4 linked regions of the Coturnix japonica genome follow. The protein of the gene in region 2 interacts with the protein of the main gene of each other region in a biochemical or structural test. Links are inferred from orthologs where the notes say so. Each region holds a gene or a part of one and is shown on either strand. Other genes may lie near its edges. The genes, in order: CRADD, RIPK1, OTUD1 and TNFAIP3.

What was found.
Region 1: the proteins of RIPK1 (region 2) and CRADD form a complex in vitro, tested with the Homo sapiens proteins (2 studies listed by BioGRID). The link is inferred for Coturnix japonica from reciprocal best matches to the Homo sapiens genes RIPK1 and CRADD.
Region 3: of the proteins of RIPK1 (region 2) and OTUD1, one has a biochemical effect on the other in vitro, tested with the Homo sapiens proteins (2 studies listed by BioGRID). The link is inferred for Coturnix japonica from reciprocal best matches to the Homo sapiens genes RIPK1 and OTUD1.
Region 4: of the proteins of RIPK1 (region 2) and TNFAIP3, one has a biochemical effect on the other in vitro, tested with the Homo sapiens proteins (2 studies listed by BioGRID). The link is inferred for Coturnix japonica from reciprocal best matches to the Homo sapiens genes RIPK1 and TNFAIP3.

Annotation. Positions count from the first base shown.
Region 1 is NC_029516.1:40,970,320-40,978,512, reverse strand, and holds the end of CRADD (death domain-containing protein CRADD), read right to left. Parts: intron 3,748-8,193; coding exon 3,452-3,747; 3' UTR 2,238-3,451; downstream 1-2,237. UniProt on the Homo sapiens protein: Adapter protein that associates with PIDD1 and the caspase CASP2 to form the PIDDosome, a complex that activates CASP2 and triggers apoptosis.
Region 2 is NC_029517.1:63,193,383-63,201,102, forward strand, and holds the end of RIPK1 (receptor-interacting serine/threonine-protein kinase 1), read left to right. Parts: intron 1-349; coding exon 350-426; intron 427-2,193; coding exon 2,194-2,281; intron 2,282-3,107; coding exon 3,108-3,653; intron 3,654-4,727; coding exon 4,728-4,799; intron 4,800-5,561; coding exon 5,562-5,714; intron 5,715-6,875; coding exon 6,876-7,162; 3' UTR 7,163-7,448; downstream 7,449-7,720. UniProt on the Homo sapiens protein: Serine-threonine kinase which is a key regulator of TNF-mediated apoptosis, necroptosis and inflammatory pathways.
Region 3 is NC_029517.1:15,709,703-15,717,895, reverse strand, and holds the end of OTUD1 (OTU domain-containing protein 1), read left to right. Parts: intron 1-1,396; 5' UTR 1,397-1,475; exon of another isoform or gene 1,476-2,278; 5' UTR 2,279-2,917; coding exon 2,918-4,495; 3' UTR 4,496-5,666; downstream 5,667-8,193. UniProt on the Homo sapiens protein: Deubiquitinating enzyme that specifically hydrolyzes 'Lys-63'-linked polyubiquitin to monoubiquitin.
Region 4 is NC_029518.1:49,351,586-49,359,392, reverse strand, and holds the end of TNFAIP3 (tumor necrosis factor alpha-induced protein 3), read left to right. Parts: intron 1-3,559; coding exon 3,560-3,825; 3' UTR 3,826-4,455; downstream 4,456-7,807. UniProt on the Homo sapiens protein: Ubiquitin-editing enzyme that contains both ubiquitin ligase and deubiquitinase activities.

The sequences.
Region 1 (8,193 bases), on a different chromosome or scaffold from region 2:
TAATCTGGAAAGACATTTTGAAACATTATTTCCATTTCTAGCAATTGTCCCTCTTTCTCAGGAAAGACACTGTGTTTGGTCCCCAAAGAAGCCAAATCACTAGGTCTATTTTTAGGTCTACTTATCGGATGGTAGACACTTTGAAAGTCAATCTTCTCAGTTAATGAAATCTGGACACCATTTGTAAATTCACCAAAAAGAAGAAAAAAAGACTGTAAATTATTGTAAAATAATTTGTAAAGCAAACCTTTTAGGAACTGACTTTTCAGCTCTGCTTCTGCTGTGCCTCAAGATTAGTTTATGGCTATTGAGAATACAGAAGCTTATAAATAGATTAGCTCTCAGAGCTTGTTTTTATTTCCAGTAAGAAACAAAATTGGCTGCATGACCATATTTAGAATAAGATCATCATGCCTTTTATATTCCTTGAATATAATGTGACTTTTGTTTGTTTTTCCAGCCTTCAGCAAAATGTTTTATTCCATAGATCGATGACTGTCGTAATATATGACTCAAGATGGAAATTTCCCCCACATCATCTTGGAGAAGCAGCTCGAAGATGACTGCATTTTAGTTCTCCTCTATACTCCAGCCACTTCTTGAAGCAATGTGAAGCCTAATTCATGGGGTCATGAGGTCCCTCCTTTGTGATAATCCACGCTGCTTTGTGCAGGTGGGAGATATGCTCTTAGCCCTTTCTTACTGTACAAGATGTACAGTACAAGACTCACTGAGTACAAGATGGTTTTTATAAAGCCTACTTACCACCAAAGAGAGTTAAATGGGATCTGAGCATCTCCTTTATAGGCCAAGGAAGAAAACCAATGTCTGCTTATTCCAAGGGCTGGAAGTCAAGCCATTTCTGTAGAAGAGCCAGGGGCCACCATTGCTTTCATCTCTCAAGGCACCTAAACACTGCTGCAAACAAGTATGGAGCAATCACACCAGTTGCACTCAAAAGCCTTTTTTTTGGCTTCAGCTTAGAAACCAGAACACAGTTGAAAACACTTGAACTGCCATCAGGTGAGGTGACCGCTGTGGGAGACGTTCCCATCACCGGCCCTGGGTCAGGGAGCAGCCCCTGCCAGCTCTGGGTTGTCACCCAAAGTAAGAAGGCAAAGATGGGGACACTCGCTGATGGAGCTGCTCCCCCTGAACAATGCTCGAGTCGCAGGCTTGCCTCAGAGTGACATTTAAACGAGTAACATTTGCTCCCAAATTAGCCAGAGAAGAATAAACATTTTAAGATCTCTTGGCTGTGCTAAGAGAGAATGAGAGGCGTTGCTTTACATCTGAAGAATTAAATTGTCTTAATTACATCCTTGTGTAAAATAAAGCATTACATACAGAAGAAAAATATTTTTAAGTAGATGGAAAAATCCACTGGGTTAAAAGAATACTACTGTCAAGTTTAATGTGTCCCTGTATTTGTGTGGTGCAAAAACAAGCCTTAATAAAACTGAAGAGTCTAATAGAAACATTTCCATGAATTTAAAAATAACAGCAATGGAAACAGTCTCATAAAACAAGTAAACCTCTCCCTTCGATATTTGCAGCTCAAGTATTACAGCATTAAATTTGGGCCTGGGAATGTGAAAGCAGCTATAAGTTATGAATTAGGTGATTTGTTAGGATACCTAACTGGTTAGGAAGGCTTCTTCGGCATGAGACTTCATACGTGTTCCAAGCTCTTTCCTTTAAAATGCTCTAGGTATAGTTATGCATAATCTGACATTGGCCTTGTAAAAGAAGAACATAAAGTCCAAAGGTCATGCAGAGAAGAAAGTAGCAGGACCCTGTGAGTGTACCACCCATCGTACCACTTCACCGCAGGACTGGTCGTATTGCCGCATTCAGGCTGAGCTGGCTAGGGATGGCTCCCCATGTCACCAGCCTGCGTTCAGACTTGGCCTGAGCTGGCTCAGAGCAAGACAAGGTCCTTGCATTTCTGTGACTGGGAGCTGCCTTCCTCCTGTAAGCCGTGTTTTTAGTAGTTCATCCCACTCCACATCTCCCTGCTGCCACAGACACCGCTCTGGCCCTCTTCCCTAACATGCATGTCACGCTGGTGCTCATCTCACAGCAGAACAGGTTCAGAGTCCTCACACTCCTTGCTCTGCGCCGTGTCTATGTGAATTTGCCAAATGCCTCTGTATACCTCTAGGACTGTTTTCAACAAGAAGTATATGCTGGAATGAAAGCATCGCAAACTAGTAAAATAAGTAACATGGCCTAAATTGATTTAAACTGTTTATTTGGGACTTGTTGATAGACTTAGACTCTGTAAATAGCTGTAATAGGATATGATTAATTAAGATCTGAGTGAGGTATAACAGGATCATGATTTACAGAAGGTGAAAACTGTAAGCAGAAGACTTCCACCAGATCACTTCAGGACCTGCAGGACACATTTTCTCTTTTCATGCTTCTGAAAAGCAAGGCAGACAATGTTTCCTGAAAATGTCTTTGTTTTTCCTAATTACCCATCTTTGGGAAATGGCTTCAAAAATCAGAGTAAAGGAAGAATTAAAAAAGAAAGAAAAAGGCAATAAAGCTCATTCTTTCCCTAGTAAAGAATTCTGACAAGCCTGTTAAGCTGTTAAATTATATGGAGCAGATCCTGTAGGATGGGAAGTTATTTGGCAATGACTCTGTATAGATGAAATGGTCGACCAGAACTTGCTCATAAATAGACCTGGAAACCCTGCACTCAAACATTGTTCCTCATTTACAGTACAGTAAAGTGCCCATAAAGAATTAACATGTATTTAGCCTCTTTCCATCAGGTCTTTAAGAGCAGCTGGCCGTTTCTGTTGCCTTTGCACACATGCTGTAGTACAAAGACTGAGCAGACACCAGTTTACTAGCTGAGACAAAGATGGGAAACTTAGAAGTCATCTCATTTCAGTTTGAAAGGTAGAGTAAGGTGGCAGCCATCTACCCAAATAAGAAATGCTATGCGCGAAGGCTCTGACAAATGTGAAACGGGCCACCTGCAGTAACTGCTGTATAATCGCTGCATTAGTAACAGTGATTATTCTCATTTCTTACTGGGATATCAGGGAACTAGCATGGATCAGCAGTAAAAACGGCTCTTAGTCCACAGTCCAGAAAACAGGTTAAATCAAGTGTTGCTCCCACAGTGAAAAGGGAAACCTTGCTGAAGGGCCTCCTGCATGCAAGGAGTTTAAGCGTCACCCTATATCCCCACTGGAATAGTACAAGAGCAAAGAAAGAGGAAAGAGCGATCCATTTTTCAATGCCTGCTAAAAAGAAATCTGGCATGAAAAGAATTAGAAGTCACAAGGTGCCACAGAAAACCGAAATGTGGAATCTTAATAAAATCACAGTTCTCAAGCCCAATTTTGCCAGTCTGATGCACCAGATCTTCAATTCATCTCAGTGATGTACTCAGTTTAGCAAAGAACTTGAAAGCTTCCAAAGCAAGGCTTTACTCAAGCATGTACTGCATCACAGAAGGATCCACCTCTGCTGCCATCAGGCTGGCTTGCAGACTTTGGATTGTTGCACTCTTCCCAAAACGCTGTCTCCACAGGACAAACGCAGCTACTATCTGTGACTGAACGTTGTGAGGGTGATTGACTTTACATCGATAGATGTCAGTATGGGACAAACCCAAGCACAGAACAATATGCTCCCATTCAGGTCCCAGCTTCCTCGCAAGCTTGTTCATCTGCTGATCTGTGGGTGAACTCTTCAGAATACGTGGGGCAATTGCGGTTGAATCTGTAAATACAAAAGAAAGAAAATGCAAAATCACATCACTAGGCAATGTTGCAAATATTAACATAAAACCTTGACAAGGAGAGAATAAGCAAAGCTGAGGTGAAATAATCAATTAATTAGAGAAATGGCAAGCACACTCAACCAGAAAAAATGAATTACATAATCAAATACAAGATTAATTAGAGGAAAACTAATGCTCAATGGACCTTATTAGAGAGCCTGGAGCTTCTGAATGCCAATAATCCAGATATCAGAATTCCACTCTGAAGCCAGGACTTTCAGAAGTAATTATGGAGTCTGAGGGGAGTGAACAAGAAAGGTTCTGAAGGAACATGTTTCCAGCAGTCGGCACATTCTGAAAATCAGCCTTGTTGTACGATGACACATATGGGACCAATAATAACCTTATCACTTTGGTCCTGTCTCTCTGTTTGTGCACCTCAGAAATAACTGATTCCTTAGTTACCAGAAAGCCTTTTCAGTCTCCTAAGATGCTGCTTACCCTTTGTTCTCTGTCATATACAGCAAAATCATCTTTGGGTGGCCAGCTTTGGGGGCTTTTATTTGAATAAACCCTAACAGTGCTAGGATTAATTACTGCTGAGGAGAGAAATAGGCTCTTCTAGAATACAATTCATATATTGGAAAGAAGATGTTTAAAATAGACTAGATGAATTACTCCTCTAAAAATGCACGTTTCTCTCTGTTGACTATAAAAGGAGCGCTGGGTATAAGCTCACATGTTGATGTTGATGCTGTAAACGCCCAGTGCTAGTGAAAGAGTTCTCTGCCTTTAAATTCAAACCACAGACCAGTTGCTTTGAAAAGGTGTACCTAGAAAAGCAGCGTATCTGTAGAACATATTCACTCTCTGATACCTTTTGAGATCACAAGCTGAAATGAAGGGTTATTTCTTTTTGCTACTCTACTCTTGTCACTGATGACACTGCGTCAAAACAGAGCAAAAATAACCTCAGGAAAATGCTAATTATAGCCTGCCAATCTGAAACAGCAGCTTCCCTTCAGAGGAGTCGATCTGCAAAATCTAATTTATAGCTTCAATACCCTGCTCAAAGTCTCTGCCACAGCAGAACAGTAACACTAGAAAGCACTACTCCACTGTCTCAAAACAACAATTGTTTTTGCATAGGTTACCCTGAGCCTGCAAACATTTGTACTGTTCAAGCCCAGTCACACGAGTGCTGTATGGAGCTGCTTTGAGTAAAGGCAAAATTGCTTTCTGGAGAGCATCTAGGTGTCACAGTTTTGGCTGGGATAGAGATTTTTTATTTTTATTTTTTCCCTAGGGGTTCATGTGATGCTGTGTTTTGGATTTTTGATGAAAATAGTGTTGATAGCACATGGATGTTTCCATTGCTGCAGAGCAGTGCATGCACAGAGCCAAGGACATTTCAGCTCCTCATGCTGCCCTGCCAGCAATGGGCTGGGAGGGGACAGAACCAGGACAGCTGACCCAACTGACGAAGGGGATGTCCCATACCATACAGCATCATGGACCACAATAATAAAAGCCAGGGGAATGAAGAAGGAAGGGATGGATTTTCAGAGAGATGGCATTTGTCTTCCCAAGAAACCATTACGCACAATGAGCCCTGCATTTCTGGAAGTGGCTGAACACCTGCCTGGTGATGGGAAGAAGGGAATGAGTTCCTCGCTTTGCTTCACTTATGTACATGGCTTTTGTTTTACCTACAAAACTCTCTTTATCTCAGCCTATGGGTTCCTACACTTTTCCCTTTCAGATTCTCTGACCCATTCCATCTGGGGAGCGTGAGCAAGTGGCTGGGTGGTGCTGAGCTGCCTGCAGGGTTAAACCACAGCACTGGGACCTCTCATCTCCTGGTGCCAAGGGAACCGGCTGGTTTTTGGGTAGGGCACAGGCCTCACAACTTCCTTGCACAGGTCCCAGTTATGATAACAAAGGCTGAATGTCCAGATCATCTTTCAGCTTCAGTGGCTTCAGAGACAGAAGGGTTTGTGCCGGGTCAGTGGCTTCAGCCCTCATCACAGAGCTCAAGAACACCTCATCTCCTCCCAAGAATGCATCTGCAAAGACAAGGGCTCTATAGCACGCATACTCTATGGATGCACATTTTGTTGGCAATGTCAGCAGTGGCAAAGAAGGCCCAGCCTACACGGCCTGTCACCCCAGCACAACTCTCCTGAAGAAGGAAGAGGAGCTCCATGGGGCTGACCCCCCATTACACACAATGCCAGTTCCACGGGCACATCGAGACCACTGAGTGCCTGCGATTAACACAAATATGAGTCCAAGTATTTGATAAGAAGTACGATTTACAAGAGACAGCTACCCTGCACTGCAGCCAGCAGTATTTCTTGCTATTGAACTCACGTATTGTCTCAGATACTAAGCAGGAACTCCGTGCCCAGGAGGAGGACCTGCCAGCCCGAGCTTTTTGCTCTCACATCAAGATTTTTACATCTCGTGTTCACTAGCAGAATGATTTTATGGTACTGAAATGTGATCAAGCAGGGAGGCCTAACAACAATATATGTCAGCTTGTCCATCCAGCCTTTGATATCAGGCAGATTTTTTTACTACAACAAGTATCTTGCCTTCAGCCTGTTATCAGCCCTTTAATAAGAATAAGAATAAAACCCATCCAGGAAATCTTTTCATCTTGAGCTAGCATCTGATTCCAATATGGATGCAGGAAATTCTGGGACAGGAGCCAAATGTTAAATTTAATACAAAGGCCTGTTACTTTAGTCCCATTTTATTTTCTGTGATAGCTCTTTTTCAGCTCACTTCTCACTGAGAAAAACGCGAGACAAGTATTACATGACAGGCAACATTATTTAGAGGTATACAGAAATATTTAGTGAGATCATTCAGTTATGACAAATGTAAAATCATATAAAGGTTTGGATATGATCTATGATTAATAACACTCTTAATTTAATAAACACAAGGGCATTTCAGGTAAAAGGGAAATGCTTCTTCTGTCCTCAGCAACCAAGCTGGTTTGAACACATTGCAAAAACATTAAAGACAGCTTGTTTTGGTTATTTTTACTGCAGACCCCCGCTTACAATCTGCATTGGTCAGAACAGGCTGAAGGAGGTAGCAAGATTACAGTATAAATTCCAATTATGCAGATGCTCTGACTGTATTTGAAATACACATTCAGTAAACTAAAAGCTCAATTTGCAAAGATATGAAGCTTTTCTAGCTTTAGACAGGTCCAATATGAAGATGTCCGTGCTTAAGACAGATACAGGCTTGCGAAATTCATACTGCACCACTGGAAATGGGGAGAAGTGGGGCTTGGGGAGGTGTGACCTGACTTGCATCTGAGGCGCCACTGGGCTGCCTGTTCATTATCTTGCTGTAGTGGTGAGAGCTCTGTTTCACAGGGGGACCTGGAAGGTGCTCAAGGGTATTCCTGAGAAGACCACTTGTGGCGTTTCTACCTCCAGAGGGCAGGCCAAATGAAAGACCACAACAGCTCTGGACATGGTTTGTGCTGTGAAGTGTCATGGCTGCATGCTGTGGAGATTGAAAGTCCAGCCTCTTGCTGCTCACACCAAAACCACCAAGCTCCTGAGAAACAGCAAGCTGACAGCTCTGTGCTGGGGAGTGCGCTGACCTGGGGCAGGACTGCTCTAGGCCAGATTGCTGGAGCAGCACTGGGATCATAAAAATCCCCTTGCACAGGGCTGAAAGCAGGGACGATGCTCTTCACCCTGGATTCAGAGTTGGAACTGATCAGAGTAAGAACTCTAGCTTCTCCTGTTGAATCCTGCAGCACAAAGGGACAGGCTTCTCCCCTTCTCCACCTGCTGCTCCTTGCCACTGGCTCTAACAGGTCAAGGAAGATCATCCACCATCAACCTTAGTCCTAGCTGTCCCAGCTGAAAACAAAATGAAAACATCGGCAACTACCAGCCTGTGTGCTTCTGGACCATGGCTCAGAGTGGGAGACACAGCCATTCTGGTGAGTGTGGACAGGAAACAGACCTGGATATAAATAGAAATTATCACAGACAGGGACCAAACAAAACAGAGTAACCCAGATAGATGCCAAAAATATGTCTGGGGCAAAAGCATCCGGTTCATACTTTGGCATTCATTTTTCTTCGATACATTCCCAGCTTAAAGCACAAAACTTTAAGATGTTGTAACAATCAGGGGGATGGAAAACGAAACTCACCCCAGCTCAGCCCCCCCTTGGCAGAAGTGAGAGGATGTAACATAAAGTCCAGCAAAAGTGAGCTTTGAACGGGGGAGCAAGCAGGCACAGTTCCAGCACAGGATGCAGCAGCAGGAAGCATTGAGGTGTTTTGGGGTGATCTGCAAAGTGCCCAGCTGATTCCTCAGAACCACCAGCAGCCCAAAATGCCTTATGGTTTTGTCTAAAGGACTCTGCGTTAATATGACTTCTCTGCGTGTGACCAAAAGTG
Region 2 (7,720 bases):
CCTAACCACTCTCCTAGTGAAGAACTTCCCCCTAACGTCCAACCTAAATCTTCCCTCCTTCAACTTAAAACCATTTACCCTAGTCCTGCTATTATCAGCCCTTTCAAAGAGTTTACTCCCCTCCTGGGTGTAGGTTCCCTTCAGGTATTGAAAGGCTGCAATGAGGTCACCCCGCAACCTTCTCTTCTCCAGGCTGAAATCTCCATCGACTTCTTGTACATCAAGGCTGTTAACAGTATAAGTTACTTATTTTCTACTGAAAACCATCTTCATCTAGTTCTCCTTTTTTGTGTGGGTATATATACATATACATATATATATATATATATTTTTATTTTTTTTTTTGCAGAAGTTAGTAACAAGTACGTGCCCTTTTACCATCAAAATCTAGAAAAAAATATTGACAACGATCTGAAGAAGATAGAAGTGAGTAATTTGTTTGGTATTATTTCCTAAGTGTTAAAGTGTCGGTTTCCCAACCATGCCATGACACATCCCCAGTTACTGCCAGATTCTCCCCAGCTCTGCTCATGCCTGACCAACCTGATTTCCTTCAGTGTAAAAATGGATGGATTTGTGAATGAGGGGAGAACACTGTACATCATTTACCTCAACTTCAGGAAGATTTTCAGCACTGTCTCCCCAAATATTCCTTTGTCCAGGATTAGATGTTACCATTTGGACGGGTAGACAGCCAGATGGGTTAAAAACAGGTGGTCCTAGAGGGTAGTGGTTAGCAGACCCTACCTCACCTGGAGAACAGGAACAATTGGAATAATACAGGGATCTACTATACTGGGACATGCCCCGATTTACACCTTGATCAGCGACCAAAGGAGCTATCTCATAAGGTGTGCAGATGACAAACTATGGGGATAGATAAAGTACCATTGTGGTCAAGGGTGCCCACAACAGTCTAGAAGAATGGGATGACAGAAACCTTATAAAACTCCAAAACTATATTGCTTGTAAATTCCCAGCCTGCTTGAAAGCAGGACCTGCACAACAGCAATAAGAATAGTTCCCGTTTTTATTTGAAATCAGTTATTTTTCCTTAGTGCTTAAGTTGGTTTCTCTTCCTTGTCTGGCTTGAGGTGCTACCACTTTCTGACATTCATACAGAACCTCTTGTGATTCCATTTGTTCCCACCACCTCTTGTCCTGTCACTGAGCACCACTGAAAAGAATCCATCTTCTTTACACCATGCCATCAGATATTTAAACACACTGACATGACTTCCTCTGATCCTTCTCATCTCCATGCTATCCCATCCCAGCTCTCTCAGCCTCTCTCTCACAAGAAAGATGCTCCAGTCCCTTAGTCATCTTATCTGGACCTTCTCTGTTGGCTCTTATACTGCAGGGGCTCAGAACTGAACACAGCACTCTAGATGAACCCTGAGTAGAGGAGAGGGATCACCTCCCTAGACCTACTGGCAACAGTCCTCACAATGCACCAGGACAACATCAGTCATCCTCACTGCAAGGGTGTATTGCTAGTTTGCACTCAATTTGACATCCACTGGGACTCCCAGGTCCTTTTCTGCAGAGTAGCCTTCCAGCCAATCAGCCCCTAGTATATATTGGTGCATGGATTTATTCCTCCTTAGGTGCAGAACTTAGCATTCCCTTTTATCAACCTTCACGAGGTTCCTGTCAGCTCATTTCTCCATCCTACACATGTCCTTCTGGATCATTAATGGAGATTTTGAACAGGATTGGACTCAGTGATGACACATGGGGCACACTGATAGTTTCAAGCCTCAAACTAGACTTCAAATTACTGAACACTACCCTCTGGATCCAGTTATTCAACTAGTTTTCAAGTCACTGTGCACTTATCTAGCTCACAGTTATCAGCTTCTTTGCTAAGACCTTAGGAGAGACATTAATTATGAAATGTATCCCTATGTGCCAATTAAACTTATACTCATTTAGGTAAATGGTGTTCTCTGGCCAGCTCAGAATTACTACAGTTGCATTACAGTTCTTCCTCCTTTCACTGAAGATAAGATTTTGCCCATCTGTAGCAAAGCAGCGGCTATTTTCTGCAAGGCTCTGTCCTCTGTAAGATTGATGGAATCTGTTCACCCAGGTGACTTCAGTATAAGGATGTGTTTTCTATTCTATAGGTGCTTCCTCTCGTTAAGCTTTTACCTATAACTTGACCATATGCTCTTTTCTTACATGTAGGAAATGTGGCCCAAGTCAGAAGAACTGCTGCAGAGGATGAAATCCCTTCAAATAGATGCTGTAGTAGATACCAGCAATGGCCAAATAGGTGGGTGTTCCAAGTTGCATAACTAGCACATCATCCTGGCATGTACTCTGCTAAAGATAAAGTTGCCCCTTTTGTAGCTATGGAGAGACTCAGTCATTCAGTACTTCTAAAATCCAGTAGAAGTCAAATCCTACTAACTTTGCCCACACCACTGTAAAGATTTTATTAAGCAAGTAACTTGGAACTATAACAGGCAACCGATAAACCTTCACCAAAGCTATGTTTGCCATAACAGAAGTAGAACTATTGGACCTAGTAAGGCAGGCCAATTGCTGTACTTTTAAAGTAGCGTAGGTACATTTCCCTAGCAAAAATAATAATGTAAGACTACAGATTACAGATGCTTTTGTGCTTTTTTTTGGTGACATCTCCAGATAGGATTTCTACATAATCTTTTGCAGATATGACTTCAGTGACAAATTATTTGTGTTGCATTAAGTAACGCCAATTACAGTGAGTTCTATCTTCCATCTTGTTATACTCTGGTCTTACACTGGTTAAATACCAGTTAATGAAGTCAAGACTTGGTAGTAAATTAGACCCTATGAGTGCTGCTGGGAACCTGTTGTTTCAGTGACTAAGAACCTGGTGTCGATATATGCAGAATACACAGTGAATTCAGACACTGCTTTCCTAAGCATAATTCAGTGACACTTCCCAGAAAGGGAAGTATTACATAAAACAGCTTATGCTGGAAGTGATGCTACAGTTTCATCTTTTATAATTTACCATAGTATTAAAAATAAATTAATAGAATCTAATGTCACCACTAGTTATATACTTGCAATAGAATCTGTTTTAAATACTTCATTTTTTTCCCTTTCAGATCAACCTAATTCTCTACACAGCTCTCAGGGTCAGATTAATGAAGCCTTGTTTGCTGCCTACCCTGAGAACCAGCCTGTTGAGAGCTGTGAGACTTCGTTTACATCCCCTGACAATCTTGAAAGAAAACTTGAACGTGAATACGACTACCATGCATACGGCAGCCGGATGGATAAATCAGTAGCTCCACCATACAGCCCTGAAATGAGAGAGAGAGAAACGAGACCTAAAGTTTCCAATGATCCATTTGCAAAGCTGCCTTCTGTTCCTCAATGGGGTGAACTGTATTACAAAGCTGAAAATATAGGATCAAACACTAACCCTTGGTTTTGGCCAAAACAAGCTGCAATACCAACTCAGGGAAATTTAGAAAATTTTTATGGGCCAAACGTTAACAGTCTCCTAACAGGAAACACTGAAGATCGCTATGATCCATGTTCAACAAGTGCCTTTAGCCTAAGCAAAACTCCTGTGCCGGAATCTCGCCCAAACCTGGGGGCACAGAACAGCGTAAACCAGCAACAAAAGAATGCAGATGTGGATACAGGTGAGATTCTTCCTCCTCTTAACTCTTGTGTTTCTGAAAATGTGTTTTTTCCTCTAAAGACAAAGCAGCCTTAATAATAGCAGACAGTGGATAATACTGCAGCAGCTAACAAAACCAAGAGCTCTTACTAATCACACTTGGAAAACTAAGGAGTATTTTTGACTCACAGAATGTAACATTCACACCACAGGCTGTGTGCGCAAAAATGGAACTTTTCTCATGTATGTGCATGTAGCATTTCAGAAAAGAGATATTTAAGCTTGATTTGCAGCAAGTTAAGAGTTCAGGGAGCTAACAAGGAACTAAAGCTCTTAACTGGTTTCTCCAGAGAACACTGCTCAGTGCTAACACAGAGATGCCCTTACAGTTTGCTAGTGAACTGTGGAATAGAAAGCTATGGAGAAAACGAAGAGAACAGTGAGTGTCAGTAACAAGTGGAAGCAATCATTGTAGGGAGGCAACATACAATATCATGGCAGGCATCAGGCAGATGCAGAAGACCTGCACTGCAGTTCTTCTATTGTCTTATTTGGTGACCATAACCCAGTCACTCTTACTGCCCAGTCACAAACTGTCAGAGCTCATCTGAGCGCATCCAAATCCATTACTACATCAGACAGGAAGTTACATCTCTGCAGGACATTATTGCTACCAACAGAAGATACGGTGGCATCCCCAGCTACAGCTGGTCACAACTAACATGCTAACAAACCATGATCAGTCTCAGCAGTAAATAGCAATGTGCTCGGCAGCCTTCTTGGTTTGGAGGCAGTAATACCTGTGTCTACGCTGTGATCCTGTGCTGCTTTCTGCCAGGCAGGTGTTCATACACCCATGTGGAATCCTGTTGTTCTCACTGGGATCCAAGGATCACAAAGGCTATCAGTCCATAAGCAAAACCACAATAAGGGTAACTGCTTCAGAGTTATTAAAGGAGATAAAGTCCTGTTTGTTAAAAAACTTTCTGTCTTTTTGTATTTAAGAGCGCTATGCACACTGTACAAATAACAGCAGTACTTGTAGATTTGTTTTTTTTAATTTCCATAACACTTCTGGCATTTCCTCTCTCTTTAGGTATCAAGGTTTCTGCCTCTTTCACAAGGGGAACTTTCACATATTATCCTCCTGCAACTCCAATAACCAGAGGTAAATGCTGTAGCCTTTGTTTGTCTTGGTAGCCAACAGTTTATGCATTGCATTACGATCAGTGAGGAAAAAAGCTTCAGCATCTTCATCATCAGGCTGCCCAGGGGGGTGGTGGAGTCTCCTTCTCTGGACATATTCAAGACCCGCCTGGACGCCTACCTGTGTGACGTGGTTTGGGGAGCCTGCTTTGGCAGGGGGGTTGGACTCAATGATCTCTAGAGGTCCCTTCCAACCCCTACAATTCTGTGATCTTGAAACAATTCATCCAAGAGCTTTAAATATAGCAGAAGTTATATTACTAAGCAAAACTAATTTCTGTCTCTACAGTTACCTGTATATACATATTTATATTTGCTTGATCAAGGATGTCATCATCTTTAATGTAAATCAAAAGGATCATTCTAATCAGCCTACCTTGGAGCACAGGTCTTTAAAGTTCAGCTACCTTAAACCCCTCAAGTTTTGTCCTGTTCTAGGGCATTTTGGTATGGGATAGAGTAACACTGGCTTTCAGTAGAGCACAGCTGTGTCACACTACATGAAAATACATTCCTGATTGCCTGTGCACTGCAGGGGAGTCTTACTAGATGACTTTTAAGGGTCTCTTCCAACTCAAACAATTCAACTATTACTATGTTAAATGCAAGAATTTAATCACTCCCTTGATTATCAAAACCTTCATCCTCACCCTTCATACAGGACTGCTTCAATTTTTTATTTGCATGCAGATGTTTATGAAACTCTATTAATTTCCTTACACAGAAGATTCAGTCATGTACAACATAACTAACAGCTCTAGAATTCAAATTGGATCCCACAATCACATGAAGATTGAAGAGCAGAAACAACACACCAGCACTTCTCCTGTTGCTACAGAAGCATCTTACTCATACTATGAATCAACGGGTATATTTGGTAAGATACATCTCCCTGGCTTCAGTGTATTATCCTCAGTGAGAACAGTACAACTTAGCTGCTCTGTGACTCCTTTTCTACACAGTAGCACAGTACTCCAGTGGTGCAGTGGTAGGAATGCCGCACTGCAACACCTGAGGCCTGGGTTCAAATCCCCCTGTGGCACAAGTGGTAGAAGTGCTGCTCTGCTACACAGGAGGCTCAAATCCCAGGGGTTGGACTCGATGATCTCTAAGGTCCCTTCCAACCCGCACGAGACTGTGATTTAAAGACCTGTGCCGGTGCTGTTCTGTAATACTGTGTATCTTATTTCTTTTTTGGCTTCATGAAACACCAGATCCAAGTACACATGTAGAGGAATAGCAATGCTAAAACTGATAGAAGTGAGACTGGGATTGATGGTTCTCACCTAAGTATTCTATTAGGGTAGAATTTGGAAGATTTTTTTTAAATTTCTTTAAGTCAATATTGGATTAACTACTCTTTTATTCCTAAGTAAACAGAGTTACAGAGTCCTAGAATATAAAAGAGATCACATATAAACATCAGTCAGCTACACAAGAACTTTAGGAAAGAGCTTGTGAATTTGGCAGGTGTTTCAATAACAAACTTAAGTAGACTCAGGGGGAAAAAAAGCAAGTCTCCCAACCGACTTGTGAACACATGTTCCGACTGTGAGCTTCTTTTGTGGTATTCATTAGGTAATATCACCTCCACTTTTGATCCTGTCACTAAAGTTCTACCTCAGGATATTGCAAATACTTTGGAAAGGACAATTGGCATATGTAAGGGTGGCTAATATAAAGATGTTGACCAAGATGGTGGTAAATAGTCAAAGGTTATTAGTAAAGAAAACTCACCAATGTCAATGCCTTGACCAGAAAGCTGAGACAGTCTCCACTGGGGAGCAATCTCCAAGAGATGCTGCCTCAGTGGTGGTCAGCCCTTAAATGAGGTCTCAGAGGAGGTGGAGTCGAAGTCCAGCCCTTCTGGGAGCACAGCTACATTACTCTCACCTGTGCTCCCGCAGCTGACCCAATACTTGCCTCAGCTAATTAATCAGAGGTTCAAGCGGTGATTTCCCATACAGACATAGAGTGGGGAGCAGAAGGAATGTTAAATAATGTTATTTACTTATACTTTTTTTTCCTTCTTCTTCAGACAATAATACTGTCTTGACTGAGAAACAGATGGATCTGGTGAGAGAAAAGTTAGCTAAACAGTGGATGCACTGTGCCCGTAAATTAGGCTTCAGCAACTCTGAAATTGATGAAATTGATCATGACTATGAACGATACGGACTAAAAGAAAAAGTTTACCAAATGCTGAGTAAGTGGGAAATGAGAGAAGGCTCCAAAGGTACAACAGTTGGAAAAATTGCCAGAGCCCTCTTTGGCTGCCAAAGACTGGATCTCCTTGATGCCTTGATGCAAATGAATGAGGAGTAAATTGACTGAAGCTGGAGAGGGAGGAACACGGGATATTTTTACCTGAAGACCTTCTAATAACAAATAATTCTGAACAGAATTTCTGGAGCTTTTTGCACACTTTTCCTCTTTGGAATGGATTTTTCTGCCAAGCAGTTTTCAGTGAATACCTCCAGCAACTCAGAAAAACTTGTGTCAAGATAATGAGGTCTTCCAGATGCTAAAATTTGATATTTTCCTTCTGGGAGGGAAAATTAAAAACAAAGATTTTTCCAAACAGAATCGCAGAATTATCAAGGTTGGAAAAGACCTAGAAGATCATCTAGTCCAACCATTACCAATACTTCCCGACTAAATCATATTCATCAACACAACATCCAAACATTTCTTGAACACTCCCATGGTCAGGTGGTCTACCACCTCCCTGGGCAGTGCATTCCAATGCCTGACTACCCTTTCTGAGAAGTAATACTTCCTAATGTCCAGCCTGAATCTGCCCTGGCACAGCTTGGAACCATTCCCTCTAGTTCTATCACTGCCTACATGAGAGAAAAGGCAGACCCCCAGCTCACTACAACC
Region 3 (8,193 bases), about 47 Mb from region 2:
ACTGTTATATCCTTTGAGGTTTATTAAAATATAAGATAGCTCTTTTAAAATCCTGTATGCATTACAGAGTTTGTTTGCATTGCATTACCACTGTTTTTTCTCAGAGGAAATAGCATTTATGATTCCTTTTTATATTCTGACATCATCCTTGAGCCCTATTCACAATGACCACCACAAATGCCATCTACACACTGAGTAGAAATGAGAGACAGACTTGACCTGCGTCAGAGCTCACATTTGGAGGCTCACTTATCAAAAGGGATGTGAATCCAAGACCCTGAAGCGTGAGTGAATGTCTATATTTATCATCAGCAACCCTTTTTCCACTCTTGCCATGTGATGTCATGCTGCAGGTTACATCTCTAATGCCCAGTGCCCCCATACAGTGATATGATTTCAACCTGAGAGTATTGAAGAAACTAAACAACAAATTGTGAGGCAATTGTGAGACACATCCCTTGTTTTGTGCGGCGTATGTATACCTCAGAACTAATTACTGATACATTTACTTTCCATTTCATGTTAGTGATACAGTAAGGGTTGAACAAAGTATGAAATCATTACAAAAAAAACCCCGAACTGTCATAAGGAGTAGGAAAAAAGATTCGGGGTAGAAACAGCAGAATCTGTCAGTGCTGTTGGCTTATGACATCTACACAGGTTCATTTAACTATAGTACGAAATACTTCAGCCAGAAATATGTTTGGCTGAAGCACAGTTACATTATCATAAGTAAAAAGCTGTGGAAATGCTTATTCAGTGTCATTCAATACGTCACTTAATTTAACTTCTCTCTCCTTCTTCACTAATAAATGATCCTGCTGATGTAATTAATTTGTTCATCAAGGTTAGAAGTAGTTCCATTCTTAGGTATCCAGTTTTACGTCACTGAACGCCACTGTTTTTCCACAGCTGTTTCTATGCTTGTGGTTTGCCTTGTAAACCATCTCAACCATTCCTGGAATGTGCAGTGTAACCAGTGCTAATGATTATGTCAGGAGAAACTTTAACCTCAAGAGATGATTATGCTTTGTTACCACAGGGACTGCTTTAAGGTCTATTCTGCATTGGCAAAGGGCTTTACATTTGCCTGTCCTGAATGAGCCAGAAGACTGGGAACACTACAGAAGACAGTGAAAGGCATTTCCATAGTGTTCTGCTTGCTTTGCAAAGCGTTCTAGTGCTCATGTGGTACAGTATGCAGGCAGTGGCTGCTCTACATGCAGCTCAAAGAAAGAACAAATCAGCACCTCCTGGCAGCAAAAGGCACCACAACGTGCTCCTTCCTTTTACAGATTGCCTTATATTCAAATTCTTCCCTGAAATTTAATACTCACAGGAACTTATTCACAGCACTTCATCATTCCTTTCTATTTCCACCCTTTTCTTCATCTAGTGACCTTGGATTGAAGCATGGGTTAAGACATTGTTATTATTGCGAACAGATGCCAGACATTTACTGAATGACCTTTCAGGTAAGTGCTGACTGGTGGTCACTCCTACGATGAAAGCTGAAAACTAGCCATGAAATGCTTGTGCTGCAGAGGTTCAATGGGATTTTTGCCATTGATTTCTAGAAAGATTGGATTCCACCCAGGCCAAATGTGTGTGACTAACTCTAGATGCTCAGGCACAGAAAATGTTAGCCACGTTACACTGTCAGTATTTAATAACACAGGTAAAACGTGCTGAGGTGAACTTCTCTTTCTATTTACTTCACATGGGAGGTAATTAGTATGTTAAAAGCAATATGCAATTAACTCTCATACAGTGGTAGAGCTGTTTGTTATGTTGCTCAGTTACCTAGTAACAGATTTTGATTGTATTTTAACAGTACTAGGAAGGTTACTATGTATATTTGAAGTGAAAACATGAGGCTGATGTTACTGATACCTGTTTGTAGAATGATCCAATAGTTTGGGAGAGGCAGAACTGTCATTACTGGGAGTTTCTATGTCATCCTAAGAGAAAGAGAACTGTGGCACTAAGTATTCAAAATGCAGCACTCATTTATAACAGAAATGCTCTTATTCTGCTGGATCTATTTACTATTCTCTAACAGAAAGAGCTGCCCATCTTTGCCCTTCACTGGAAAGTGTTTCAGTTTAGCACCATTTGATCGGTATATTTTACTCTCTAAGAAATGATTTGTCCAGAAATAAAGGTTCACTGGCTGATCTCATAAGCTATATTTAAATCAAAGTTCTGAACATTCTGACATCCGAGTGTCACTCTGTAATTTCAGAGCAGTTGTAATACTTTATCCTCCTGTTAACAGGCTGCCAGAAATGCTCCTGGCTAAAGCACATCACCATTTGTTCTTAAGGCATCAACGTGCTGGTTGTGGCAGGTAATCAGGACCTTACAGTTCATACCTGATACACCTCTTACACCTCAATTTTGGCAGCAATAATGTTGGATATATAGTACTTACCACCCCCACCCATTCTTTTTCTCCTTCCTACTGCTTGGATTGCAGAACTGAAGCTCAAATCATTCATCCCAAAGTCGATCCTGAAATCTATCTCTATATATATTTTCTTCCTGTATAACTTTGAAATTAAACACAATATCCACTTTTCTGTTGTGGTAAGACTGGATGCCTGTGTTAACCCAGCACGAAGTGGGGCTCCTTACTCAACGTTATCACATGCAGCGTGTGCAGATAACATCACTGCTCGTGTCTGACGGGTGACATGCAGCTTTATTTATAGCACAGCTAAGGCAAAAAGTCGTGTTGATTGTAAGACGCCACTGACATCAATAAAACAACCACCAAAGTGGTCTTTGGGAGTTGCATTTTCAATCTGTCCTCTCCAGTTATGAACCGATGACCTATATCGTAGTTTTACATGTACATGTACACATAGCGCATTGTAACCGATGAGTTATATCGTAGTTTCATGTATACACACACATGGTTCGCATTTCCCAAAGGAAAGCTCCAGTGGGTCCCACATCCTCCCATCGCTCCCATCCCCCCCCCCGTCGGGGGCCGTTCCCTACGGAATCCCCGCCCCACATTCCAACGTGCTCGTTCCCCGCTGTAAACACGGCGCCGCTCCGCCCCCAGCAACTTCCAGAAGGGCCTCAGCTCTTCGGCGCGCTCCCGCGTAGGGGCGTGTCGTGCCGGCCGTGCGGCTCCGCTTGTGGCGCAGTCAGAATTGCGGCGGCTGCCGCCGGGCCCAGCGGGCAGCGCGGGGCAGGGGAGGGGCGGCGGGGCGGGGGGCGATGCCCCGGGTTATTTTTACCCGGGCGGCTCATCCTCTCGGGCAGCCCCAGCGCGGCCCCCGCCGCCGCTCCCCGCCCCTGCTCCGGCGGCGCCGCCTATAAAGCGCCGCCCGCGGGGGAGCCGAGGATGCAGCTCTACAGCTCCGTGATCACCCACTACCCCGCGGGCGGAACGGCCCCTCCGAGCGCGGCGACCGTTTTCAAGGTCTCCATCCCGCCGGGACCCCCCTCCGCCGAGGCAGCGAGCGACGCCGCCGGGCCGAGCCCGAACCCGACCGCCGAGAGCCCCGCCAAGGACGGCCCGAGCCCCGGGGGCCCAGCCGCAGCCGCCATGCCCGCCTTCTCGTCCTGCCTGGAGGTGATGCCGAGCGGCCCCGCCGCCGCCGTCCCGCAGTACAGCTCCTGCGCGCAGCTCACCGTCAGCCGCCGCCGCCCGCTGGAGCGCGTGGTGCCCATCCGCCTGCTGCCCCGGCCCGAGCCCGCTCCGCACGGCCGCGCCTGGCTGGAAGGCGTCGTGCAGAGCGGCGCCGACGAGCCCAGCAACCGCAGCCTGCGGCTCAGCGAGCACTGCCAGGCGCTGCAGGCCGCCGCCAACCAGCCCGGCCCGCAGCCCGAGCGCGGCGGGGAGGACCAGGAGGGCGGCGGAGGAGCGGGCGCGGCGCGGCGGGCGGAGCGCAGCGAGAAGCTGGCGTTGTACCTGGCCGAAGTGGAGAAGCAGGACCGGTACCTGCGGCAGAAGGGCCGATTCCGCTTCCACATCATCCCCGACGGGAACTGCCTGTACCGCGCCGTCTGCAAGGCGGTGTACGGGGACCAGCGGCTGCACGGCGAGCTCCGCGAGCAGACGGTGCACTACATCGCCGACCACCTGGACCACTTCGGCCCCATCATCGAGGGCGACGTCGGGGAGTTCCTCATCGCCGCCGCGCAGGACGGCGCCTGGGCCGGCTACCCCGAGCTGCTGGCCATGGGGCAGATGCTGAACGTCAACATTCACCTGACGACGGGCGGGCGGCCCGAGAGCCCCACCGTTTCCACCATGGTCCACTACCTGGGGCCCGAGGACCCGACGCGGCCCAGCATTTGGCTGAGCTGGCTGAGCAACGGGCACTACGACGCCGTGCTGGACCGCGTCTGCCCCAACCCCGAGTACGAGGCCTGGTGCAGGCAGACTCAGGTGCAGCGCCGGCGGGATGAGGAGCTGGCCAAGTCCATGGCCGTGTCCCTGTCCAAGATGTACATCGAGCAGAACGCCTGCTCGTGAGGCCGCCCGGGACCAGGGCTGTGGGGACAGATGGGTGGAAGCGTGCTGGCCGTGATGGTGATGCCTTAATCCTTAATGAAGCAGCAGCACCCCGGACTGAGACGAGCGGTAGATCGCGGGGGATAAATCCAAGTGTGTTTGTAGTATTCTGTTGTAGAGACATAGCCTCGGATTATTTGCCAGCAGGTTCTCTGTTCGTTTGTGTCTCCCTTCCTCACCGTTTCTCTATTTTCTATGAGAATGTATTTTTTGCACATTTTTAAACTGTTACGTCCATCTTTTACATCTCATGTTAGTATCTGGCTTTGAGCTGTATAGCCAAAAAACATTTGTAACGATTTTTGTAAATAAGGCTTATGATGTAACAGCTATTTTTTGCTGTGTTTTTTACCCATAAACCTTATATTTCTACCTAATGAAGCTGATGTCGAATGACCCTCCCAAACTGGCGAAAGCATCGTGGCTATTGGCAAAACAATAGTAGTTGTTCAAGCGCAGCAAAGTAGAAGTCTGCTTTCTGAACAGTTGCTTTCTCTGCCTCGAGTACAGAACAGGTCCTCTGAGCCGGCTGGAATGCAGCTCCACGTGCACCGCGCAGGGAGCAATTGACTCTTCTGTATTTAATTACTGTTTTGAGTAAACTGGCCTCTCGTTGCCTGGTTGGCTCACCCTCTGCTCCATTTATGTTATTTATCTGTAATAACAGAACATTAACTTGCAATAGAATGTTGTGACTAGATAATAGCCTACCGCTTTGGCAGTAATTGCCTTGGCTGCACCTCGGTGTTTGTGTTCCTGTTTCTGGGGTTATGGTGTCTTTTGTATGAGCCATGCTTCTGTTTTGGCGCTTGTATTGCACCAACAAATCGTTATCTGATCACAACATTTTATTCATTGGATGTTATTTTCTATATAAGAAATCAGGAATGGTATTTTGAGTTAAAAAGTATTTAAATTGAGATTTGTATGGTTTGCTGGGTCAAACATTTAAATGTTTCCAAGCTGAATTCTGTTTCTTCTACTTTCTGATTAACTTGTTAGATATATTTATTAAGTACGGCAGTTTGTACTTTTTTTATTTTGTAATATATTGTGATTTTGGAATTTATACAGTATTTGTATAATAGGAATATTCTCAGCTAAAATGGAATGAATAAAGAATATAATTTTACTTGTGTTCTTTTCCCATCCTTTCTGTTCCTAGTGTGAGGAACTGGAAGTTCATTCAAGAGCCTTTACTGAGTTTCTTTGCTTTATTTTCCCCAGTGAGGAGGGGGGAAGCAGGGACATGAAGTTTGATGAATGTGAACAAGTGATGCTATGGGTGGCCTGGGGGTGTGGAAGAAAAGCAAACACTTAATGACAAGTGTTTCAAATCTATTGCAATTACAAGTGATTTTAGCATAAATATTTGCCACTAAGAAATCCCTGAGGGATTCCTGCCTGTACCAAGGGTTGGTACTGTGGGTTGTGGTGAAGCAGAGCCCTACTGGGCAGTGCAAGCCTTCACTTAGTCTCAGATTGCACACAGAATCTGTGGGTGCCCCATTCCCTGGTGGCATTCAAGGTCAGGTTGGTTGGGGCCCTGGGCAGCTTGAGCTGGTGGGTGGCAGCCCTGCCTATGGTGGGTGGGGAGGGTGAGTGGAGCTGGGTGGGTTGTAAGGTCCCTTCCAAGCCATTTAATGAACTTTTGTGTCTGGGAGCCTTTATTCTGCAGCCATTCCCAAGCTCGTTTTAGGTTAGCCCTACCTCTGCACTTCTATCAGTTACTTGGATAGAGGTTGTATCACTAGGAGATACAGCCTTTTCCCTTTCCTTTTAAAAGTGAAATACCTTACAAGCTGCTCAATAGCATGGTGTGTATTTACATACCTATCTTTGCCTCTCTAAAAATAGTGGGTCATCTTTAAACACACAGGAGAGCGCTGGCTTAAAATTAGGATTAAAGATAAGTAGCTGAGATGCTGCAGTCTTAATTGAGCACGTGTGTTCTGATAATGAGCTACAGGACTGATCGCATGTATGTTTGCCTTATGTGTTGCAAAGAGGAAATCAGAAACTTATGTTGTTTCCAAAACTTTCTTGGTTTGAATTCCAAGTGTATTTTCCACACACACACAATAATGCTTTCTCTTTAAAGGTCAAACAGCAGTGGAAGAAGCAGTCTTGCTGGTTGGTCCACTGGTGCTTACCTTAACTAAATCTCTGGAAGGCTGAACTCTGAGGGGAGAACGCATCAAAGATGCAGACATGGATGCGTTCATGGGAAAGAGAGACAGCTGATGAGGAGAACATCCCGGAGGGCTCCTTAGGAGTTCTGATGCCACTGCACACATATGACTGTAAGGAATTAAAATTGTTGAGCTGATTTTAAAAGCCATTAAGAATGTATTATTGAAGCATATAACAAGTTAATTTAGTGGCTTGCATTACACACTGTGTAAATTTCAGAAGAAAAATGGATAAATGGTATGTTAGGTGCATAAGGCATGTGGAAACTGAATTGTTTTTGTAACACTGCTGTTTATAGTTCAGCTGAGACATGGAGTTCATCTTGCCTGAGAAGGTGTGTTTTATTAGAGAGAGTGGTCCCAACATGGGCAAAGCTGTGTGCCATCCCCCATTCAATAGCACTGCAGCAAAAGCACAAGAAGAGGGTTTTCCCTTACTGTCCCCGTTACTGAACCCAGAAGCTACAGAAGGACAAATGTTGCCCTTGCTCATAATTTCAGCGCCTGATTATTTTAACCTTGGGTAATCACTTGTATAACCCAGCTAATCCTTAGACCTGTCTGGGGACTGTAGGAAACAGGTTCATATTGTTGGCAGTAAGTGAGAAGGAGATCTTGGTTTTCAGTGTTCAGTTGTGTGGTTAAGTGAGATAGAAAGTGGTTTAATTCTAAACTGAGCAAATGTGAACTGGAGTGTGCTCCTGCAGGCTGCACACTGACAGTGTGATGCCATCCTCACTTGTGTTCTGTAGCAGAAGTGAAAATTAGATGGCAGGTTGAGTGCTTCATGTCAGGAATTCCTTTGGGTTGCAGAATGCCATTTTGTCATGAAAGATTGGCCACATTGTGATTTTCACATGTCTTGAACAGGTGCTGTAACACAAAGCAAGGTTTGTAAGAGTAGATTTGGTTTGCATGTGAAAGGAACATTCCAAAATGGAAAAGGGAAGACCTTTCCAATGTTACTGCCCTTCATCTCAGTCAATGGATTTCTTCTTGGAGAGCTGAGTGGATCCTTGTCTGTGCTTAGTAACTTCCTAGGATGTGTAAAGGCTGCCTAACACCAGGTGTGAGTGTCCCCTTGTACTTTACCAGCCCACCACACGTGTAAAAGATACACCTGTTACATTAACGTCACTTGTACATAGAGGTGTATTTCAGTATTACCTGAGATTGTACACAACCTCCTGTATCTGAATGTTTCTTCTGGCTGGTTTTGCTCTTACGCTGGAATTAGCAGACAGGACTAATTTCATCTATACCATATTTTTTTTCACACATACAAGTGTCCAGCACAATTCCTGTGCATAACTTCTATATTTTCATATTTTGGCTATCCAGCAAACAAACATTTCTGGGCAAGAAAACACATGGTTTCAGATCTCTGGGTGAGGTCTGGAGCTTGGTGACCTCTGTCCCTTTAACCTAATATGGCTAAGAGCAATGCTTCTTCCCTTTGCTGATGCT
Region 4 (7,807 bases), on a different chromosome or scaffold from region 2:
AAAACCACAGTGCTGAGCAGTTACAGTTTCACTTTATATTAAATGTAAAATAAGAAGTTACACTTTTCACTTGCCTGAATTTAATGAGCAGCGCAGCAAACTCGTTCCTGGTGGGAGCAGATTCAGTGTGCACACATGAGCTTGGTCAGTAATCTCTGTGCTGCTGCTGTCTCCCGTACTGGCGATAACATGCTGGTACTACCAATGCTTGCCTTGTTCAGAAGGGTCAGCCTAGCAGCACAGGAATCACAGAATCACAGAATGACCCGGGTTGGAAAGGACCTCAAGGATCATGTAGTTCCAACCCCCTGCCTGGCAGGGCCACCAAACATACACATTTACTAGATCACGTTGCCCAGGGCCCCGTCCAACCTGGTCTTGAACACCTCCAAGGACGGGGCATCCACAACCTCCCTGGGCATGCTCAGAAGTGGCTTAACTGAGCTGCCAATTTATTAATTCCCCTTGCCTTGGCCAGCTGTGGTTGCTTTGGAGAAGCCTGCCATAGTCTTCCCAAGGAGAAGTGGAGCTGAGTCAATCAGTCCCCTGCAGTCCCCTGTGCCCTCTGCCACTGCCCTCCACCTTCTGCCAGTGAGCTGAGTGAGCTATAGGCAACTTGGTGAGCACAATGCAGCAGCATCTCGAGTTACCAAGGCATTCATTCATTCAACAACAACAACAAAAAAAAGCCTTTATGTGTACATATTAGAACGTCTTTAATGTTGGTCAAACAGAAACCTGAAATAAGAGCAGGTAATTTTGCTTGGGAGTTTTATGATGACATCTTTTTGTACTAATGCTAATTCTCAAAAAACTCCCTGTGTCTAATACTGAAAGACAGCCTACGGCGTGCAACGCAGACTGCCCCCTCCTCCGGCCTCGCTAAACTGAACACTGTGTACGTAATCTCTCCCCCTCCCACTACCCTTGATCTCTGACAGCAATGATTCTTTTTGTTATTGATTCGTGTTTTACCCCTCTCCACCCCCCCACCCCCCCTACACACACTTTTTTTTGCTAAGGGCCTGGTACAAATACATGATGTTGGGCAGGAAGTAAGATTTCCCCTGGTGAATTACCATGGGGGAAACTTAGGTTTTATTCTCTGCTTATGGCTTCGTTTCAAGGGATTCATATGATCTAATACAATTGCGTATGGTGAGTTCATCCAGTTCCCAACCCCATACTTTTTTTCAAAGGCTCAGTGGCATGACACAAGAAAGGGACAAAATTCCCTTCTCATTTACAATGTAAAGCCCAGCTGGTGAGCTGGGGCTCTGCTCCAAGCTCATGTGCAATGTTCCTCACTTTGAAACAAGCACCTCTCCAACTGGCTGCTCTCAGATAACTGTGGGACATAGCCTGGTCATGGCATTAAGTGCTGTGCAGCCTGAGAACACACTGCCAGAATTCTCACTTTATTAATGACTGAAGCAATCATTTCATTTCCTCTTGTCTGACATCCATGATAGAAGAGCGTGCACTGAAGTGACACCTGGTAAACATTTTGCTGCAAGATCTGATAACGTTTATACTGATGTCAATCCTTAATAATTTGATGGACTTCAGCAACTTTACTCTAGATTTTCTGTAAGATAATGAGGATGGGAATTTGGCCAGGTATCTTATACAAACAGTGTCTTACTTCCTTTTTTGTGTTCTGGAGTAAAAAAAGAGGCATTCAGTTGCTGCTGTTGCAACCCACATGCCGCAAAGACATCTCTAAGCAAGCAGACCTCGCTGTTATGTCCTCTTGTACATAATGGCACACCTTGCACTGGCTGCTGGTTACCGTGTAATGGTAATTAGGCATCTCAGCCTGTTCTGTGGTCCTTAGTGCACAATCACTTAAAAAGCAAGAAAAATAGCCTGACTGACATTCCAACAGGATAAGTTATAGCTTACTTGCCTTCTAACTTATAGCCTGCAATGAAGATCAAACTGATTTTTACTTGAGGGTACAGATCAACATCATTTTTCAATTACGTATTATTCATACACAGCCAGCAAAATAGATGATGTTGCACACTGTTTCACAATCACGTGCATGTCTAGACCAGCCTATATCTACTGCCTAAAAGAAAAGAAGAAAAAGTCATCGTTTCCAGAGACTTTTTTTTCTTTTTTTTCTTTAAAAAAAAAAAAAAGGAAGTTTTGGGGGTGGTAATAGAGCCATGAATGCTGACCCTCAGCAGAGCAGGTCTCTTTGAAAGCTGGTGCTGGGGCAGGTGCTTGGAGCCTCCAGTGTTTGCCAGCGCTCCTGTGCATCTGAGTCATATCAGCCATGTGCACCACGGAAGTTCACAACGCATTACTCAGAGCAGGCATGTAGCTTGGGCTCTGCCAAACCCGAGGCTACGTGAATGTCAAATTAAACATATTCATCACCAGAATGTTCTTTCTCTGTTTTTCTTTTGGGCATCCAGCAGGGAAGACTTATTAAGGCAGAACTTCATATTGTTGGGATTTCATTATATAATTCACTGACTTACAGTTTGCTTTGTTGTTACTTCAGGCATTTGAGCTTTGCTTTTCTCTCCTGCACTGGGGCCTAAGTCAGACCTCCACTCTGGGCTATACAGTGCATTCAGTCTTCCCTGGGGCTTTGTTTTTCCACGTGTCCTCACATTATAAGGTCACTACAATGTTAAATTACCTCACTGTCACGTGTGCTTCGATCCAGACTGGCTTTCCTCTACCAGAATAGCAACCCACCAGCAGCTGTGACCAAGAACAAGCTGATCTGTGTTGTACAGAGCTTCCTGATACTTTCCGCCACATGGCTACACATGCACTTCCAGAGGCGCCTACACATGCTGTAGGTTTCCAGCTTCAGCTCCTCAGAGTGCCTGTGGTGGTCTCCCTCTGTCTCCTGGTGACTTTTGTCTTGTTGTCACCCACCCTCACACCAGTCAGGGTGCTCCTGAGTCAGTTTCTGGGGAGGATACTATCCTCTGCTTTGTCACTTTGGAGAAGGTGAGAGTGTGAAGTGCAGCTTGCTGGAAACACCCAGCCCCTAACACTCCTCCTTGGGCTGCCTACTTCATCTTGTAGGTGGCTTCTCCTGTAAAAATGCAGAAGTTTGGCTGAGCTCTGCGAAGGGTTGACCTTCCGTATTTCAGTTTTTACCTCTTTGAGCTGACAATGCTTCCTATTTGGGAACAACTTTGAACTAAACTCATCAAATTCAGCTGCAAATAGAGATAGGTTTTATCTCTTTTATTTTGATTCCCCACAATGAAGTTTCAGCTTGTACTAATAACATCTATAGTACAGCTGCCAAAACAGTGTTCGTTCTTCACCTCTTAGTATTAGCATGCTTTTTTTGTTTGTTTTGTTATGTTTCAGGGTATAACTAAATATTATCACTGCTAGAGAAAGTGTATCTAAACCGTATTGGTCATGACCTATTTTTGCTTGGCTAAAAAGGAACAAGATACTTGAAAGTACATGCTAATTTGTAAAACTTGAACAAATCAGTTTTAATACTGCAATAAGGGAAATGTGAATGTATAGAATGAATCCAGCAGAGCCTGTAATAAATAGAAAATAATTGCAGGACATCAGAGAGGACAGCAAAAACAGGAGATGGTAACTTCACAGCCACGTGGAACCAGTAAGTGTTTAATCTACAAACTTTCTTGTTTTCAGCTGAGTGAAGCAGAGACAAGTAGACACAAGAAAAAGTACAAACAAGTTCTTTATTCTGCAGCTCCATTTGAGCACTCTAAAGATAGCATCAAGGACTGCATGGAAATCCCCTGGATACACTTTGTAATTTTTTCCGGTGAATCTCAGGATAGCAAATATGAAAGGCAAGGGTAAGAGAATGACCACAGCTGGTGTAGGCTGCACTTTGGTATTCCGCTTTTGCGGTGCAGACACCCAGAGTGGAATTAATCTCAGCTGTCTCTCCCTCCCCTGACTACAAGGGGCACCCAGATGACTAGCTCAGATGTAGATGTTTACACTGGTTTACAAAGGTGACATTCTGGAGTAGATGCATCCCACGCGCCATTTCTGAGGTGATGTTTCCTCTTGAAGAAAGCTATAAAATCAGGGCAATATGCAGATTGTCTTTTGCTTTGTAACTCACTAACTAATCAGATTTTGATGCTGGGCAAGCCATGAAAATACTTACAACTTATGGCAACTAATGCCTCCCGAAATCAATGGGTGGTAGGCAGTTAAATGCTTTGCATCTCTGGGGCAGTTAACCATCCATGAATATATATTTGTCTTGCGAGAAATTAGAGAAGTAACACTCACATAACTCCCCTCAATAGCTGTGAAATTTAAATAATTAATTATGACAATACTCACTGACATCCTGAAGTAAAAGGTCTGACACAAATAATTATACTTGATGTTTCAGTCTGTATTGATGATGTACTTGTTCCCCACCAACAATGCAGTTTTGGGACATATTGAGGCTAAACTTTAGACAACCTTTCATTTTTCTGAAGTTGTGTTTTCTTTCAGGTACTCCTTGGACATAGAAGAACCGAGATGAAACCTGCCCAGAGGGAGCATGTGGAACAAGATACACGTCCCTGCATTAAACAGTTACCTAAATAACAATCTCGCTATGTTACCATTTCCACAGTTATTTCAAGTGTTCAAGAAATGTATTTGAACTCCCAAATAATTCCCTGCTCAGCTCCTGTATGTTTCCAGTGTAGAAAAACAGTGTAAGTGCAGTAATATGAAGGCAGGGTTGTTTGGACCAAGTGTTAACTGCAAAACACTTGGCACTGTTACCAAGGACAATGTCTGCTCCACTTGCATTAATAATGCATTCAAAGAAACAGGCTTTTCCTTTGCAGTAGATGGAACTGCATCAGTTCTCTTTCTAACAGAGCAAAATGTTGTCAAACAACAAGATAGTGTCACAGTTCTGCACACTACTTCTAGTTGGCTACTGATCATCACATTTAGCTTCATTGAATCATAGAGATGTATGCAAGGATTTGTATCCAGCTTACACAATGAGAAGTGTTACGAATGGGGGGATATAACTGACCATTTATTTACTCTGAGGTTTTCAAAATTATCAGGGGAGACGAAAATAAACCATTGTGGCGTGAACAAGGAAGCTAAGTGAGAAGTTCATCTCCTCTAGTTGGCTGTTACCTATTACTGTGATGATTTATTGCCATAATCAAGGAAGAAACACCCTCCTTGCAGTGGAAAAATGTTCCTAATAAAATAAAGTTGTGATCTCAGTGAGAATTGGGAAGTACCAGTAAAAGCTTAGAAATATTACCATGGAAAAAAAATATCTCAGCAATGGAAATACAGGGGAAAAACCACTTCTCCTAACTTGTTTATACATCCACAAACTACATAATTCCTTTTTATCTCTGCAACAAATGAACTTATGTTAAGATATTCACCCATTGTGCCCTCCTACTCTCTTTGTTGTTTTCAGCTTATAATTCTCCTGTATTAAAATGCGTTTGTTTCAGTGGGTCTGGATCGCTAATCCATCTATTTTACCCTGTTTTACAGACTCTTTTGTCTCCTTAATTTTTACCATTCTATTACTCTTTCGCTTGTTTTGGTTAATCTGTAACATTATTTTTTTCCAGGCCCACAGAAGAAAAGGTTGAATTTGATTAAATCTGGCATGAATCTCTGCAGAAGATAAGTAGAGAAGCCATTTGCTGAAGGATACTTACTGCCAATCTACTTTTCCAGTTCAAAGTGCACACTGATTTTGGCAGCGAGAGTTTCAATATTTTTCTGACACAACATTGTATGATATTGAAACAGATACCTCACAGAAGTCTACACCATTCCTTCTACAGATCATACTAGTAACTGATGTTGGAAAAGCATGGGTTTTATTAATTAACATGGAATCACATGAGTAATTTTCCTTTGTATTTAAGTGACTTTTTCAGGATTTGTGGGTGTAAGTTGGACTCAGAAAGAAGTGATGGTAGTTACTTATATCGTGTAAGAACAGCACTTTCCATTACATTTATAGGTAAGACAAAATTAAAATCAAAATAACAACAACAAAAACAAACCAGGAAGTTTACAGAACAATTTTCACCTCTGTATTTAGAATTGTTTATCTCTGAGGAGATACTTACTAGTTCTGAGTTGAATCTGGTGATAAAATCTTTATTGCCTTTAGTTTTGCTAACCTTTGATTTTCCCTCAGTGTGACTGCAAGTTGAACAAGTGAAGAAGTCCAAAATGTTCCTAAGTTCCTCCTACAAATGTTAGTGCATTTTTTTGTAAAAAGGAACGATACTGGAAAGATCTAATAATGTTACACAATCCAAAACTGACCTGTAATGGTGGCACATGGTATAGAAATTCTCCAGTAACATTAACCTTTATTAGTCCCAGTATACCCATCCAAACACCATGAAACATAAACAAAGTAAAGCCCTTGGAAAAGTTTCATACCAGGGAATTTTTTTACCTACCCTCTGTCCCAGACATGCAAACTAGCATATCTTCTGCCATCCTGCGCTAGGCTTCGCAGAGTTTTAATCCCTGTATGTGGGTGAGAAGTGGTTACGCTGTAAAAACCAACTCAGATGTCAAATGAACTAATGGGTGACACATAGTAAGTACTGGCTTAGAGGTCAACCTTCAGGTCTTGGCAGTATGCGGTAATGCAGAAAGTTCTCTCCTCCTACATGTCTGCGCAATTCATCCAGCTCCACTGCCGTATTCCTGCTGCTGACTTGTTCTTATGCAGCAGAGGAAAGGATCCTTTTCTCTCAGCCTGGAAAATGTGATGGCTTTTATTTGTACTTCCACTCAAGGCTAAACAAACTACAAACACAATTAAAAACAATTTATATTTTATTCTTTTCCTGTATTAAATAAGATGAAACAATGTGTTATGGATTTACACACATTCACTCTATTAACTTCTAGTGTAGTGGATATTTTTCTCTATAGGAGCTGGTCCTGCTCAGTGGCGGGCTTGTGTCAGAGCTGTGATTGGAAACAACCCAAGGGAAGCCTTATTTCAAGAGCAGTGTCTATTTATCTGATTTCTCTGTCCCTCTCATCTGCAACAGACAGCACATATTTACATTGTACCTTGCTTTCCTCTATAAATGACATGCTACTTAACCAAAGCAAGTAGTGAGGGGAAAACGAAATCTTGCTTGCAGCTATATTTATTTTGTCACCAGAATTAAGTTTATCAAGTTAATCACTGCAACTAAAAGGCATCATCTCATCTCACTGAAAACGGTGAGAAACAGGAAAAGTCATACCACACCCAGAAACCATGATTGCATTGTCACTGAGTAACCTGACTTTTCTCAACCAGTGACAGGTGATTTTTTCCAACCGGTAGATGGTTATTTTTGTCCTCCCACTTCTAGTTTGATCAAAAAGCACACATCTCAATAAAAGATCTTCATAAATAATCTACTTTTAAACACTCACCCAGGCTGGTCTCTGTGCCAACCAGCAGTACAGGGGCTCTCCCTCTGTCTCTCTTCCTTCACTCCCCAGGGATGCTGTGGTGTACCACTAGGTGACCTGGAAGCTCCTCCACTTCTTCTGCTTGGACCATAGCTGTACTCTGCTATCCAGAGGAACATCACCACAAAAACAGATCTGATGTCATCTGATCAAAACCCACTAGTAAGAAATCAGGGATGATTTTGACAGTTGTCTTCTAGTTGTCCTCCGCCTCATAAATACACAGACTCCTCCTCACCACCCCTTACCAGTGAGACACAAGTGAAACAAGCCTCTCATGCTGACTTATCTGCACAGATTTAATGTGGCTTATCATTACAAGACCGAGTTAAGCAGATCATGC